2 linked regions of the Caenorhabditis elegans genome follow. The protein of the gene in region 1 interacts with the protein of each later gene in a pairwise test. Each region holds a gene or a part of one and is shown in the gene's direction. Other genes may lie near its edges.

Evidence for each region.
Region 2: the proteins of syg-1 (region 1) and anmt-2 interact in a two-hybrid assay, tested with the Caenorhabditis elegans proteins (one large-scale study listed by BioGRID).

Annotation. Positions count from the first base shown.
Region 1 is NC_003284.9:2,509,225-2,516,942, reverse strand, and holds syg-1 (Synaptogenesis protein syg-1), read left to right. Parts: upstream 1-1,619; 5' UTR 1,620-1,633; coding exon 1,634-1,780; intron 1,781-1,981; coding exon 1,982-2,104; intron 2,105-2,675; coding exon 2,676-2,781; intron 2,782-2,913; exon of another isoform or gene 2,914-3,092; intron 3,093-3,281; coding exon 3,282-3,479; intron 3,480-3,526; coding exon 3,527-3,647; intron 3,648-4,508; coding exon 4,509-4,581; intron 4,582-4,634; coding exon 4,635-4,820; intron 4,821-4,944; coding exon 4,945-5,053; intron 5,054-5,168; coding exon 5,169-5,316; intron 5,317-5,373; coding exon 5,374-5,480; intron 5,481-5,528; coding exon 5,529-5,680; intron 5,681-5,725; coding exon 5,726-5,885; intron 5,886-6,081; exon of another isoform or gene 6,082-6,229; intron 6,230-6,380; coding exon 6,381-6,509; intron 6,510-6,560; coding exon 6,561-6,664; intron 6,665-6,838; coding exon 6,839-7,016; intron 7,017-7,072; coding exon 7,073-7,224; 3' UTR 7,225-7,630; downstream 7,631-7,718. UniProt on the Caenorhabditis elegans protein: Cell adhesion protein. Involved in synapse formation in the HSNL egg-laying motor neuron. Inhibits assembly of the SCF(sel-10) E3 ubiquitin ligase complex at synapses, and protects them from elimination.
Region 2 is NC_003281.10:6,154,292-6,159,474, reverse strand, and holds anmt-2 (Nicotinamide N-methyltransferase), read left to right. Parts: upstream 1-1,716; 5' UTR 1,717-1,746; coding exon 1,747-1,868; intron 1,869-2,556; coding exon 2,557-3,043; intron 3,044-3,629; coding exon 3,630-3,707; intron 3,708-4,234; coding exon 4,235-4,372; 3' UTR 4,373-4,631; downstream 4,632-5,183. Other genes in the region: rotr-1 (Nbl1_Borealin_N domain-containing protein), read right to left, coding at 4,742-4,891, 4,941-5,069, 5,183-5,183.

The DNA of each region.
Region 1 (7,718 bases):
AGACACCTCGTTTTTCGTTTTGGTGCCCAGAGATTATGTGTGTAACAAAAAATTGACAAATTTCTTTTGAAAACGGAAACTGGAAATTTGTTGTGAAAGTCTCATTTTTTCTAGAAGATTTCCACGGTTGGAGGAGTTACGGTTATTGGGATAAACCCAAAATGTGCTCAAATAAACGAATTTTGCTATAAAACTTCTCTATAATTAAAACAAATTCTTAGAAAAAATTCCTGATTTTTTCTAAAATCTCAAATTTTGGTAACTTTTCCATGTCGGAACGCATGGGAATTGCCTTTTTGTTTAAATTATCATCCTTTTTTGGTAGTTTATCTCAAGATATTTTGTTAACTAAGGAACATTCCAATCCAAATTTTATCATTTTTGGTAACATAAATGTACCATAATTAGCTGAAAAATGTGAGAAAAACTACCAAACAATGCGAATAAGAATGACTATTTAAAAAAGTCAATTTCCAAAGGGACCAAAATTTGAAATTTTTAACTGAACCATCATAAATTATTTTCGAGAAATATTGAAGAAGTTTCAGTGCGAAATTCTTTAATTATTTTGGGATATTTCGGGTCAGTCTGCTTTTAAATGTGATGGTGGAAACATAATATTACAGGGAAACTTTTAAGGAGCCTATTGTGAGCACCCAATTTTTGCAAGGCACTTTTTTCCAATTTTGTTCTGACCAAAACTATATACTTTACGATTTCCAAAAAGTCGAGTAATCTATAAATACCCGCTAACAAAATTTATACGGATTTTAAATTTAGAATATCACGAATAGAACAGAGTTGAACAAGAAGTGGAGTAGAGTGTCTTATCAATATTTTGTCAGTGCTTTGTCAGTGCCTTTTGTCAGTGCTTTGGCAGTGCCTTTTTGTCAGTGCTTTGTCAGTGCCTTTTTGTCAGTTCCTTTTTGTCAGTGCTTTGTCAGTGCCTTTTTGTCAGTGCTACACATGCACTTATCTGGTGGCCTTCTAGTTTATATCGGGCTTAGAGTTAGTGTTTTTCTAAGCCAAGAAGTGAAAATTAATTGTAAGTTTTGATTGAATTATCATTTTCCATAGAAATGAATGGAAAACACATAGGAAATTATTTTTGGGGCAGGTATACATACTACACAAGTACTAAAAAACAATATGAGAACCTACATAACTACTACTAACGACAATTCCCTCCAATCATCCCGTTAGACGATATTTAATGAGAGGCTGCATTGGGGGGACCCGCACCACCGCCTAAGTCCGCAGGGAGATTGACTCGCGCTAACTTTTTGCAATGTGAGAAACGTGTGTGTGTGTGTGCCTGTGTTTGCGTCTCGCCTCGACCACATCATCATTTCTTATCCCACAAAAATTTTGCTTCTCAACTTCTCAACTTTCTTTCCATCGTTTTTTTTTCTCTTCTCGATGATTGAGCATCAGAACAATAGGAAAATCATTTTGAAAATACATTTTGAACAGAAAGCTGTGCGTTAAGAATCTACATGTTAAGTTTCCTACTAGAAGCTCTAAATACTTTTTTAATAATGACTGTTCTCAATATTGCGTGTCTCTCTTTTCGGCCTTCCTTTTTGCAAAAACACATTTCCATGTTCACCACAATTGCTTTTCAGGCAGAAAGATGGTACGGTGGCAGACCTGGCCACTGTTGTTGTTGTTTCAACTGGTCACTTGCCAACAGTTACAACAACGAATAGTGGAAGCTCCGAAGGATACATTGGCAGCCGTCGGAGAAACAGCAATATTGACATGCAGAGTTGAACATCAAGTAAGTTGTGATGTGTGATTTGCAAAATTTTGAAACCTTCGACATTTCCACGCAAAAAAAAAATGAAGTGCGCGCAACTGGTCAAGAAACTCGGAAACTTCCCGGTTTCTGATTGAATTTCCTGCTCCACAGGTTCTAGAAAAATTCGATTTGCGAGAATGGCAAAAAGATGAAAAATTATTAAAAGATGATAATTTTCAGCAAGGGCCGGTACAGTGGATGAAAGATGACTTTGGGCTCGGAACGGATAGAGACAAACCACTTCCTGGAAATAAAAGATACAGGATGGTCGGAAGTGCGGCAAATGGGGAGTATAATCTGGAGGTTAGTTTTTTTTGGTACGAAAATTTGTTATGTATTTTTGTGAGGAGTTGGTTTGGTTTAACACGTCAGAATATCATTTAAAGAAATTCCTAAAAGTTTCAGATTTTTTCAAATATAGAGTCAACGTTTTGGTAAATTTTAATAAAAAATATGACCTTTTTGATAAATTTCGAACATTGCAGCAGGTGTGCTGCAGGTCGATGTCCGAAATTACAATAGATGAAAACAAAATGTTCACCTGTTTTTTAAACTGAAATTTCAAAAAACAAACTTCACAAATTTTTTAAAATTTTACTGTAGAACTTGGGCCCATTAGCACTGTTTGAGCGGTTCTAAAGAACCTCGTGATTTTTTCTGCTACCATAACATAGTTTGAACCAAAATATTCAGAGTTTAACGGGCTACAGTTCATCAATTTGAAACTATATTTTAGGCCTGAGTTTTATTGCTATGTTTTCTTTTGTCTGAAAAAAAAACTCTAAAAATTTCTCCTTAGGATTGGTTTTCTTGTAACAATTTTAAGAGTTTGGTACCTACTTAGATTTTTTTGCTAAACAAATTGAACTTCCAGATCTCCAATGTAACGCTATTCGATGATGATGATTTCGCTTGTCAAATCTCGGAATCCGATCACGCCAAAGCAGTTGTTTCGAGTAAAGCAAAGCTCACTGTGTTAGGTACGTTAAAAAAACACATAGCACTTGCACTAATCAACTGCAACATTACATCGTTGTTGTATCGTCTCAAAAAAGTCAAATTCACACAATCTCCTCCGGTTTTCTGAGAATGAGAACTTGCTTTAAAATTCGAGATGACAGATCGACAATTCGCGCGGCGGCTGCCAATTAATGTCTTCATAAACGTGCTGCCAGCGCCAATTTATCTCTCAAGTGGTTGTTGAGGGGGTACGCATCCGCGCGTACTTCTTGCCTCCTAACCATTCTCCGTTCTCTGATATGGCAGCTGCTCTTGGTGAAACCACACCGCCACCGGGGAGGACTGAGGCAACGAGGTTGTGTTGTAAATCTCATTGCGGGGTCATTATTCATAGAATGCGGTGGAATATGTTCACATTGAACAAAAAAAAAACGGGAAAATGAGATTCGGAAATTTGAAAAAATAAAAAGAAAAATGTTATTGAGCTGCTCATTATTTAATTTTGAATATTTTTTTTCAGTGAGACCGACGCCTCCAAAAATTGTGAAAAGCCATCATTCTCTGAAAGCAATTGCCGGCGATCCTATAACTCAATCATGTTTATCTCGAAAAGGAAAACCACCTCCAACGATAGGATGGGCAATTGCATCAGATGAGCATGGAAAGCACATTGTTTCATGGTTGGGCGAATCGCGCTCAAAATTCGGAGGAATTCATGGTAAAAAATTTCATATTGAAAATGAATTCAAAAAAAACCTATTTCAGCAAAACCAGAAATCTCTCAAGAAACCGTGATTGCACATGTAAATGAAACCACTCAAGTTGAAGAGGGCGGTAACAATTCACGAGAGGACTCTAGTATCTACAGTATTATGAGTAACTTGAGGTTGGTTACATGAAACATTTCAGTTAAAGCGGAGAGTAGAGTTGGCGGGTATTCTGCTGAAATAGACTAAAACGTGCCAAAAACGACCGAATTTCATAATGGGACGTCTCACAAATACTCGACAAATTTCTTAAAATTTCTTATGGCGTGTCAAAATTTCGAAAAAAAAGTGCCAAATTTTCCTGAAATCTCTTTTTTCCAAAATTTCGACCCGTAATGAAAATGTTTTGGAAGTTTTTCGAAATGGCTGATCAAGAAATGTGGCCGTTTTGGCAAATTCAAGCAAAATACCCACAAAATTGATTTATCCTTTAATTCTAGAATAGCAGTTTGCTGTTATGTTTCAAAAAAAAATTATAAAAAAGTGCCCCGGTAATTTGAAAAAAGTGTGTTATTTTTATAGAATGTTATTTTTCGATTGGTACTTGTGTAGTATACTTGGCCTAAATGATCAAGAAATGTGGCCGTTTTGGCAAATTCAAGCAAAATACCCACAAAATTGATTTATCCTTTAATTCTAGAATAGCAGTTTGCTGTTATGTTTCAAAAAAAAATTATAAAAAAGTGCCCCGGTAATTTGAAAAAAGTGTGTTATTTTTATAGAATGTTATTTTTCGATTGGTACTTGTGTAGTATACTTGGCCTAAATATACTAACCATTTTAAAAACTTCACGCGACCGTTTTGTCCGTTCATATTAAGCTTAGGATTAATGTATTTCAAAGCCTAAACATGCAAATAAATTTCACGTTTCGATTGAATTATCATTTTAAGTTGAAATGAATGAAAAAATGGCTACACAAAAATCGTTCAGTTAGAAAAAAAATTATTAAAAAATCAAAATTACGAAAACTTTTTTCAGTTTCATACCACGTCCCGAAGATGACCACAAATACTTGATCTGTATTAGTCAACACATGACGTTCCCTAATAAAGTAAGCGTGTTTATTGCTTTTTAATATTTTGTTTTATTCATTTTCTCTTCCAGATCGAGGTTGATTCTGTGAAGCTTTCTCTTCGATACGCGCCACAAATCAACTTAACAGTGGCATCAAAACTTCCGCTACGAGAAAATGGCTCAGCTCTTCTAGCATGCAATGTTAATGCAAAACCATTGGATAATGTGAAGATCAGCTGGTACAAGGGGAATCAAAAGCTGAGAGAAACTGGAGATGTAAGAGGAATTAGTGTTGCTCGGATTGTAAATTGTTGAGCCATTTATTATACTTAAAATTAATTGTGTCACATTCACATTTGACATTCAAAAACATTTCTCTATTCAGTTATTTTTATTTCAGACTCTAACATTCGAAACTCTCAAAATGGAGGATCATAATCGAGATATCTTCTGTGAAGCTACAAATGAAATTGGAACTACTCGCGGGTCGATTAAGTTGAATGTGGCATGTAAGTTGTTCATCTCTTTTCATTGGAAAAGAAGACATAAGAAGAAGACACCCAGTTTTTTTTTCAAACCTATATTTTCAAATTTATAAAATCATATAAAACCTAGTTCTTACAGTTGGTGCACGTATTATGTCGACGTCACAAGATAAAGAAGTAAATGAAGGGGACAATGCATTTTTTCATTGTGCAACTCTGGCAAATCCAGCTCCAGCGATTTTCTGGACTCGTGGAGACAGCGATGAAATTATTGGGCACGGTGAAAAGTATGTTGGAAAATTAGCATTGGATAATATGTATGATCATAACAAAATAAATTTCAGCTTGACGTTAGAGAATGTGAGAACATGGCAACAGGGTAACTACAACTGTACGGCTACAGTGGAAGGGTTTAGAAAACAAATTTTATCGCATTACCTTCATATCAGAGGTACGCTCGTTGAAATTAGGCGCTTGTAGTTTAACATAAAATGTTTAGGCCCACCAACGGTCTCCATGAAAGATGAAGTATCAGCTTCACTCGATGAAGCAACGGAGATCATTTGCGAAATTAGCGGCCGTCCGAAAACAAATAACGTTAGATGGACAGTAAATGGGAAAGAGATCAATTTTAATAATGGAAGAATTACGGTAGGGAATTTGAAGAGAAATTCTGAAAAAAACTAGATTTTTCAGGTTCACCAATATCCCAAGCCATATGGAAAAGAAAGTATTCTTAAAATCAAAGATTTGAAAGAAGAAGACTTTGGTGTTTATAATTGCTCTGCAAATAACGGGTTAGGATTTGACAACAGAGGCACACTGCTCAAGAAGAGAAATATTCTAGATTGGATTGGTTAGTTTTAACTTTTCTGGAAACTTGCGGAGTATAGGGCTTCCATGTGATGCAGGCGCGGTTTCAGGGCCTGGCACCTGCCTCCAACCGTCCGGCCTCACGCCTCCTTTCAGAACTATGGTGAGAAGTCAAAGACTTGGTGTTCCCACCACATAATGCAATGGGTGTTTCTTTCGCCGTGACTGACACTTTTCGGGTCCCGCGTCGCACTATACAAGAGACGTAGCTCTTGGCGCAAGGCAGGCAGAGGTCGCCGCAAGGCGTGCAGGCGTTTTGGTGCCTGCATGGAAGCGGTAGTAAAGTATCTACCTGTAGTTCCTGGCCCAAAAATGTTAACCATTTTGAAATTTTCATGTGACCCTTTTTGTCCATATTAGGCTAAGGTTTAGTGTTTTTCTAAGCCAAAAAATTCAAATCAAATTCACGTATCGATTAAATTAAGATTTTACGAAGAAATAAAGGGAAACAAAATTTATAACAATTTCCGACTTTCAGTAATAACAGCAAAGTTCGATAGAATGGTTGCACTTGCAATTATAAGTGCAGGTGTTCTTTTGGTGTCACTGCTCTGCTGCCTCTGCATGTGCAGAAGTAATTGTCGGTCAAGAAAGTCAAAGTTTATTGGTGAGTTATTATCAACAGGTGGTTGAATCTATAAATTGACAACAATTTCAGATGATCAATCTGACGTCACAGTGAAATGTGAGGCATTGGATGGACAATATTTCCCAGAGATGTATAGTAGCAGCCCCGTTGACAATGTTCATCTCTCCACGAAGGTTGGTCAAAAGTTGGACAATATGAAGAAAAATTCGGTTTATATATGTATTAGTCTAGTGTTTATAGCAGATCAATTTTTAAAATCGTAGGGATTATTTGACGATAGTTTCAATTTTTTTGAGCCCCCTGATATCATATCACCATTCAAAGAATAAAACCAATTTATTTCACAGGATTACATCTCGATTCCTCAAAACAATCCGGATTTGGATTTCCTCGGTGCAACCGGATCATTCGGGCCACCGGGAGGGCTGTATCCAAAATGTTTCAACAACTCGGCCAATGAATACATCTACAACCGGTATGAACATTCATATGGATCGTTTGGCAGTGGACTTTCCACGCCTGGAGGTACTAACCCTAACCAATAACACCGTGTGCATAACTCATCCTCATTCTCATTTCAGGAGTTTCAGATATGTACGGCGTGGCGATGAGCGACAAATTGCCGGTTATGGAGACGCTACAGGAAGTGGAGACTCCCAAAACGTCCAACTACAACTTCCTCTCGTCGCCGGAAGTGGTCCGACCAATTAGTCGAACATCAACTCATGTGTAGATACATACTTGAAATTTTCCTGGTGCCATCTAAAACTAGAATTTGTTTTGTAAATCTTTTTTAAATCTTTTGATTTTTTTTTCCAAAAAAAAAAGACCGCCGCCAACGTTTTGAGGTCATCAATCACCTAAATGATGTTTTGTGTCATAAGGTGGCGTTCTTCAGCAGTTTTTGACATGTTCATTCTCATTTTTATCTTATTCAAAACGGGTTTTACTTGCCATTCTCATTTTTCTCACCATCCCATCCCTTTTCCACTCACGAGAAGCCTAATTGACCCCCCTCCATCCCACATTGATATTTCAATGACCTATAAATTATTTTCACTTGTATTTTTTTCTCTCTCTCTCTCGTTTGTTTGAATGTTTTCTAGTCATCCGAATTTGCATAAACAATTTTCCATACATACGTGAGATTACATTCATTAAAATTTTGATGCAGATGCATTGAGCCAGATGAAGAACTTGTTCATTTCTTGCATGATTTGCAAGTTT
Region 2 (5,183 bases), on another chromosome or scaffold:
TACGCCCCAGGGCAAATAGTGTTGTAACTGTATAGGTATCTGCGTCGAGGAACTCTATGCCAACTGTCTGTCTCACAAGAAGTGTTAGAACATATGAGAGGAAGGAGAGGCATTGGAACTAACAACAAGAGAAGATGATTGGAAGAGAGGACGAAACAATATTTCAACACTCATAATGATGATAGGTATGGAATCCCAGGTGCATTCATTGAAGAATAACTGATAAAAATATTGAAGAACAATGATTCAATGCCCCCAACTGATATGACGCATTGTGAAAATATGTGGCCTGGTCTCGTGTGAACAAGAATTTTCAGTTTTTCGATAAATAAAATAATGTCAACACGCCCTTTCCTCCTCCATCGTTTTTCTCCAAATGGTTTCGATACAAAAGTTACATCGACTGACGAGATTCAAAAAGATTCGCAGTCAGCAGGATTCGAACCTACGCGGACAGAGCCCATTTGATTTCGAGTCAAACTCCTTAACCACTCGGACATTCTTAACCACTCGGACATGACTGCACGTTTTGGTTTATTATCAAGTATATTTTCATTTTGTACAATTTCGAAGTTACAACGAAAAAAATGTGCGAAAAAATTGAAAAAAATTTAACGCAGTCAGCAGGATTCGAACCTACGCGGGCAGAGCCCAATTGATTTCTAGTCAATCTCCTTAACCACTCGGACATGACTGCACGACGAACCACAACTTTCGTGGCCTAGACATGCCGGGTGTTACGCATAATAGGAGGAGGGGATGGGGAGAAGTGGTCAATGGGGGGAGATGAAAGGGGGAATAGGGACAGTATAGAAAAATTCACACAATCGGTATTTTTCGATTGACTTATTATTATATTTTCAAAAGAGACATCAGTGTGAAGTGGGGCGCACTTGTGTAAGCAAAATGGCCAACAAAAATTCGAAAACTTCAGTAACTTTTCGATTAACCTCCCTATTCCTTTGAAGTCATATAATTTTCGAATGAAGTTTAAGTACATTTTTTCCATATTGAAAATTCAAAAATTCCAGAAAGATGAAATCCAGAAAAATGTTTCGAAAGTACAGTGTACTGATAGTGAGCTACAGTACAATTTTCGTAAGTACGCTCGATGGAACCTACTTTCCCTTAAATTTACAGTAACGCATTAAAGTTCTGCAAAGTTTCATAACCAATCTGCCAAAAAACTTCCTCATAACATAATTTGTTGTTTCCCATCTTTCCACTTTGCTCTTCGTACTCTGTGCCTGCTCCCACTGTCTGGCTCCCAACACTTCCTGCCGGGAGCCTCGGGAAATCCCTTCTTCCCTCTCTCTCTCTCTATCCTTCTCTCCCAGAGCTCCGAAAAAATAGGCGGAGCCAGAGCACACACTTATGCTCTCGCTCTCTGTGCAAGAGCCACCTCACTCAATTTTTGTGCTACTTCGAGAGTGTCGATGCCTCATTTGTTAATTGTTTGTTATTTGATGATGATAATGAATTGTTGTATCGATATTTAATTGCACTCTGCGTGGGTGTTATCACTTAAATATTAGAGTTTTTCTGGAAAAAAGGAGTAAACTTAAGAATTTTGGAGATTTTGAGGGAAAAACAAACATGTGAAAAGCGGAAGAAAATAGAGATATACATAGACTTTTAAAAGTGCTTTGTTTCCTTGTTATATTTCTGATTTTTTTTTTCAAAAATTTGGACTCAAAAAAATTAAAATATTTTCAGTGTCGTTTAATCTCTTATTTATACCTCGTCATGTCTACTCTCATCGACCCTACCATTACGGAATCATCGGATGCCCAGCATACTGTACTTTTGCCTGAGGACTACGTCAAGAAGTTCGATCCTGATGAGTATTTGCAGTTTTATTTCAGCAGGTTAGTCAGAAATCTTTGATATGTCGCAACGACCGTTCGATGTAACCCATGAGATGTCGGCCTCCCACCAATGAACACTTTCTGAGCCCCTTATCATGTAGGCTGCTTCAACAAACATGTCAAGCTACCATTTTCCAGAAATTGGTTATGAAACCCGTAAAATGTCGGTTGCCGCAATTTTTTAATGTTTTGAATCCAGTATTATGTCGGTTGTTATAATCTTGCGCGCGAGGTTGCCGCCACAAAACTTGGAAGAAACATTTTTCATAAATAACGGGCTTCAATTTCTAGAACTTTCGATCCCGATTTGCACTTTCTATCCGCTCTCGATACCGTTCACTTCATTTTTGACACAAAAACGAGTGGTTTGTTCACAAACAAAACCTCTTATCCCCGGCTTGCTTTGGCTTTGCTCCTGTTGCTGCTGCACACGAAATCGGTCGCAGATCGGTTACCTTTTTCTCTTTTTGAGTAGGAGAGGATCTTTTGTGTCAAGAGATCGAAAAAACTGAGAAAAGAGGAGGGAGGCATCATTGGCTCTTAGACTCTAAACTTTTGAAAATGAGACGACACATTTTTGGGTGCTATCAAGTCAAGTACCTGTCTGACAAGGAACGAACAATCCAAGGGAGAGAGTATAAACATCAGACATTCCATATATATCCAAAATTTCATTTCTCATTTCCAGAGATGCTATTGAAGATGGAACCCGTGTTTCCCTATTCGCACTTCCTGTCTTCGCCCAACTTATGCTCCAAACTATGCGACCTTCTGAACGTGAAACTCTTCTGGATATTGGAGCAGGACCAACCGTCTATTCGGCTCTTTGTTTCCGTGATGTGGCAAAGCGTGTTCACTTATCAGATTTTGTCGATCGGAACCTTGACGTTCTGAGAAAATGGATCCGCCACGAGGAGACTATTGACTGGGTGCCAACTATCAAAGTGATCAACCGAACGGAAGGAGGTCCCACTCCAACAGATCAAGTATGCATTGATGTTGAAGAAAAAGCCCGCGGATTGGTCAAGTCTGGTGGAATTCATTTCGCAGATGTTCACCAGATGGATGTGGTCCCTGAATTGGCTGGGAAGAAGGTGGATATCCTGGTGTCGATCTTCACGTTAGAAAGTGCTTGTCGCAACTATGAAGAGTATTGTAAATGTGTCACTAATATGGTAAGTCTAAATGGATTTTTGCGGTTTAGGCTTAGGCTTAAGCATATCGTTCGTTTTAGGAGCTTGATTATGCCATTAAGGTTATTTTACACGTCTCTTCTAAAATAGTTTCTGAAATCCCAGTACTGAAGATAGATCTTGGTTCACATTTCTTTTTCTCCATTTCTAAGTTCAAAACACGAATTTCTTTCGAATAGAGAACAATAAAATTGTAAACTACAGTAAACTACTAGCTCAAAGAGTTATTGTAAGTGTAATTCGATCTATTTTATTCTCCAGTAACAACTTCGTCATAACTTTCTTTTCATATTCCTATATCTCTTCACAATCAGTGTTCACTTCCCCTTTACACCCGTTCTCTATTTCTCTGTCTATCTTATATCCAATTTTCACGGTGCCAACGAAGAAAATGAAAAAAAAAAGAGTTTAGAAACAGATGTCTTTCATCTTTTCCAAGATGTAAAGTGTGTCGTTTTTCGGAAAAAAAAGAAATGAGAATGAGCCAACGACTGAATGGCACCAGATTTGATAGTTTGAAATGAGAAAAAGTGAAATCAAAATGTGTTTTGATTTTGTGTGATTCCAGATGAGACATCTCCGTTCCGGCGGTCGTTTTGTGCTTGGTTCGGTGCTCGAGGACGATGAGTACAACTCGGGAAGAAAGGTAGGAAAGGGCCAATTGATCTGGTAATTTGATCTGTGCTCTTGCGATTTTAACGGGGTCAGTTTGTGTGATTGCGTCAATGATGCAGGTATATATGATAGCTAGAGAAGTTTTATTGGTTTTAGGCGATGGGAATGAGGATTGAAGGATACAAATTCAGACTTGTGATAGAACATATCTTTTTGAAACAGTGCTAGTATTTTTTTTTTCTGAAATATTAGACGTTTAAGCGATACATTAACTTCGAAAACGGAGCAGTGGGGCCGCAAGACTAACATGTTACTGTACTTAAAATTAAAGGAAAAACCGATAAACCGTTTTCTCGAGGATGTTTCTTGTTTTTCTTTTTACTTCCTCTTACTTTTACCCGCTCTTAGCATATTTCCAAACTTTGTACAAAATTTAAAAAAAAAACATATGATTGTTTTTTCGCGCGGCGAGACCCAACTGTATAAATAGACCTGCATTAAAATTCGTAGCCAAAATACTCGTATGTATATGCCAACAAAAAAAATCAAAATTTACAGACAATCTTCCATCTCCTCAATCTCAGTGAACAGATGATTCTTGATGCTCTTGTATCTGTTGGTCTTGATGTTGCCAATGCAAAGAAATACGTTTTGGACGGAGAAGGTGTCATGTTCATAATGGCTACGAAGCTCTAAACTTGTTGTTTAATTAGATTCCCCACTCGATCATTTGTCAGTATTGATGAAGTCACTAGGCGTATATCAACAAAAAAGTACTGTACTCGGCTTTAGGTCTCTTTCACTTCTTTTTTTAATTGTGCACTATATTCTTTTCATATGTTTCGCTTTTTAATTGTAAAATGGTCAGAATTCATCCGTCCTCTGCATGTTGTATTTCGAGCTTACTGGTTTGCTTAATATTGATATAATAATAATAATAAATCTGTAGAAATTGAGAACTGAATTAAAAGTGGAGCATCAGTAGAAAAACGTTTGAAATCATCCAAAACCGAGGTAAGTGCTTAAATATAATAAAAGTGTGTTTCATATTCATCAATTTCAATTTCAAACTTTCTGAGTTCCATCATCGCTGGGCGGAGAACGATCGAGTCCCAACAATAGATCATCTCGATTTGGAGATGCAGGAGATCTAGAAGAAGGACGTGGCTTTTTGGAAAATGAAACATCTGATTCTTCTGATTCTTCACGACGACGCTATAAAAATTTCATTTAGTTATATTTTTTGATGGAATATTTAGATTACCGCTTTCAGTAAAACCCTTTTCACTTCATGAGCTGAGTTTCCAAGTTCTAGCAAATTGAACGCCGATGATATCATTTTCAGATTGGGTGGTGCGTACATTGAGATGTAGTTGCAAAATTGATTCAGGATCTCAAAAATATTTTTTAGGAACAATTAATCCAGAGAATCTGAATTAGGTGCCTTCAACCAAATCCAAAGAATACATACACTCTCGTTTCTCTGCAGTAACCGTTATTCCTCACC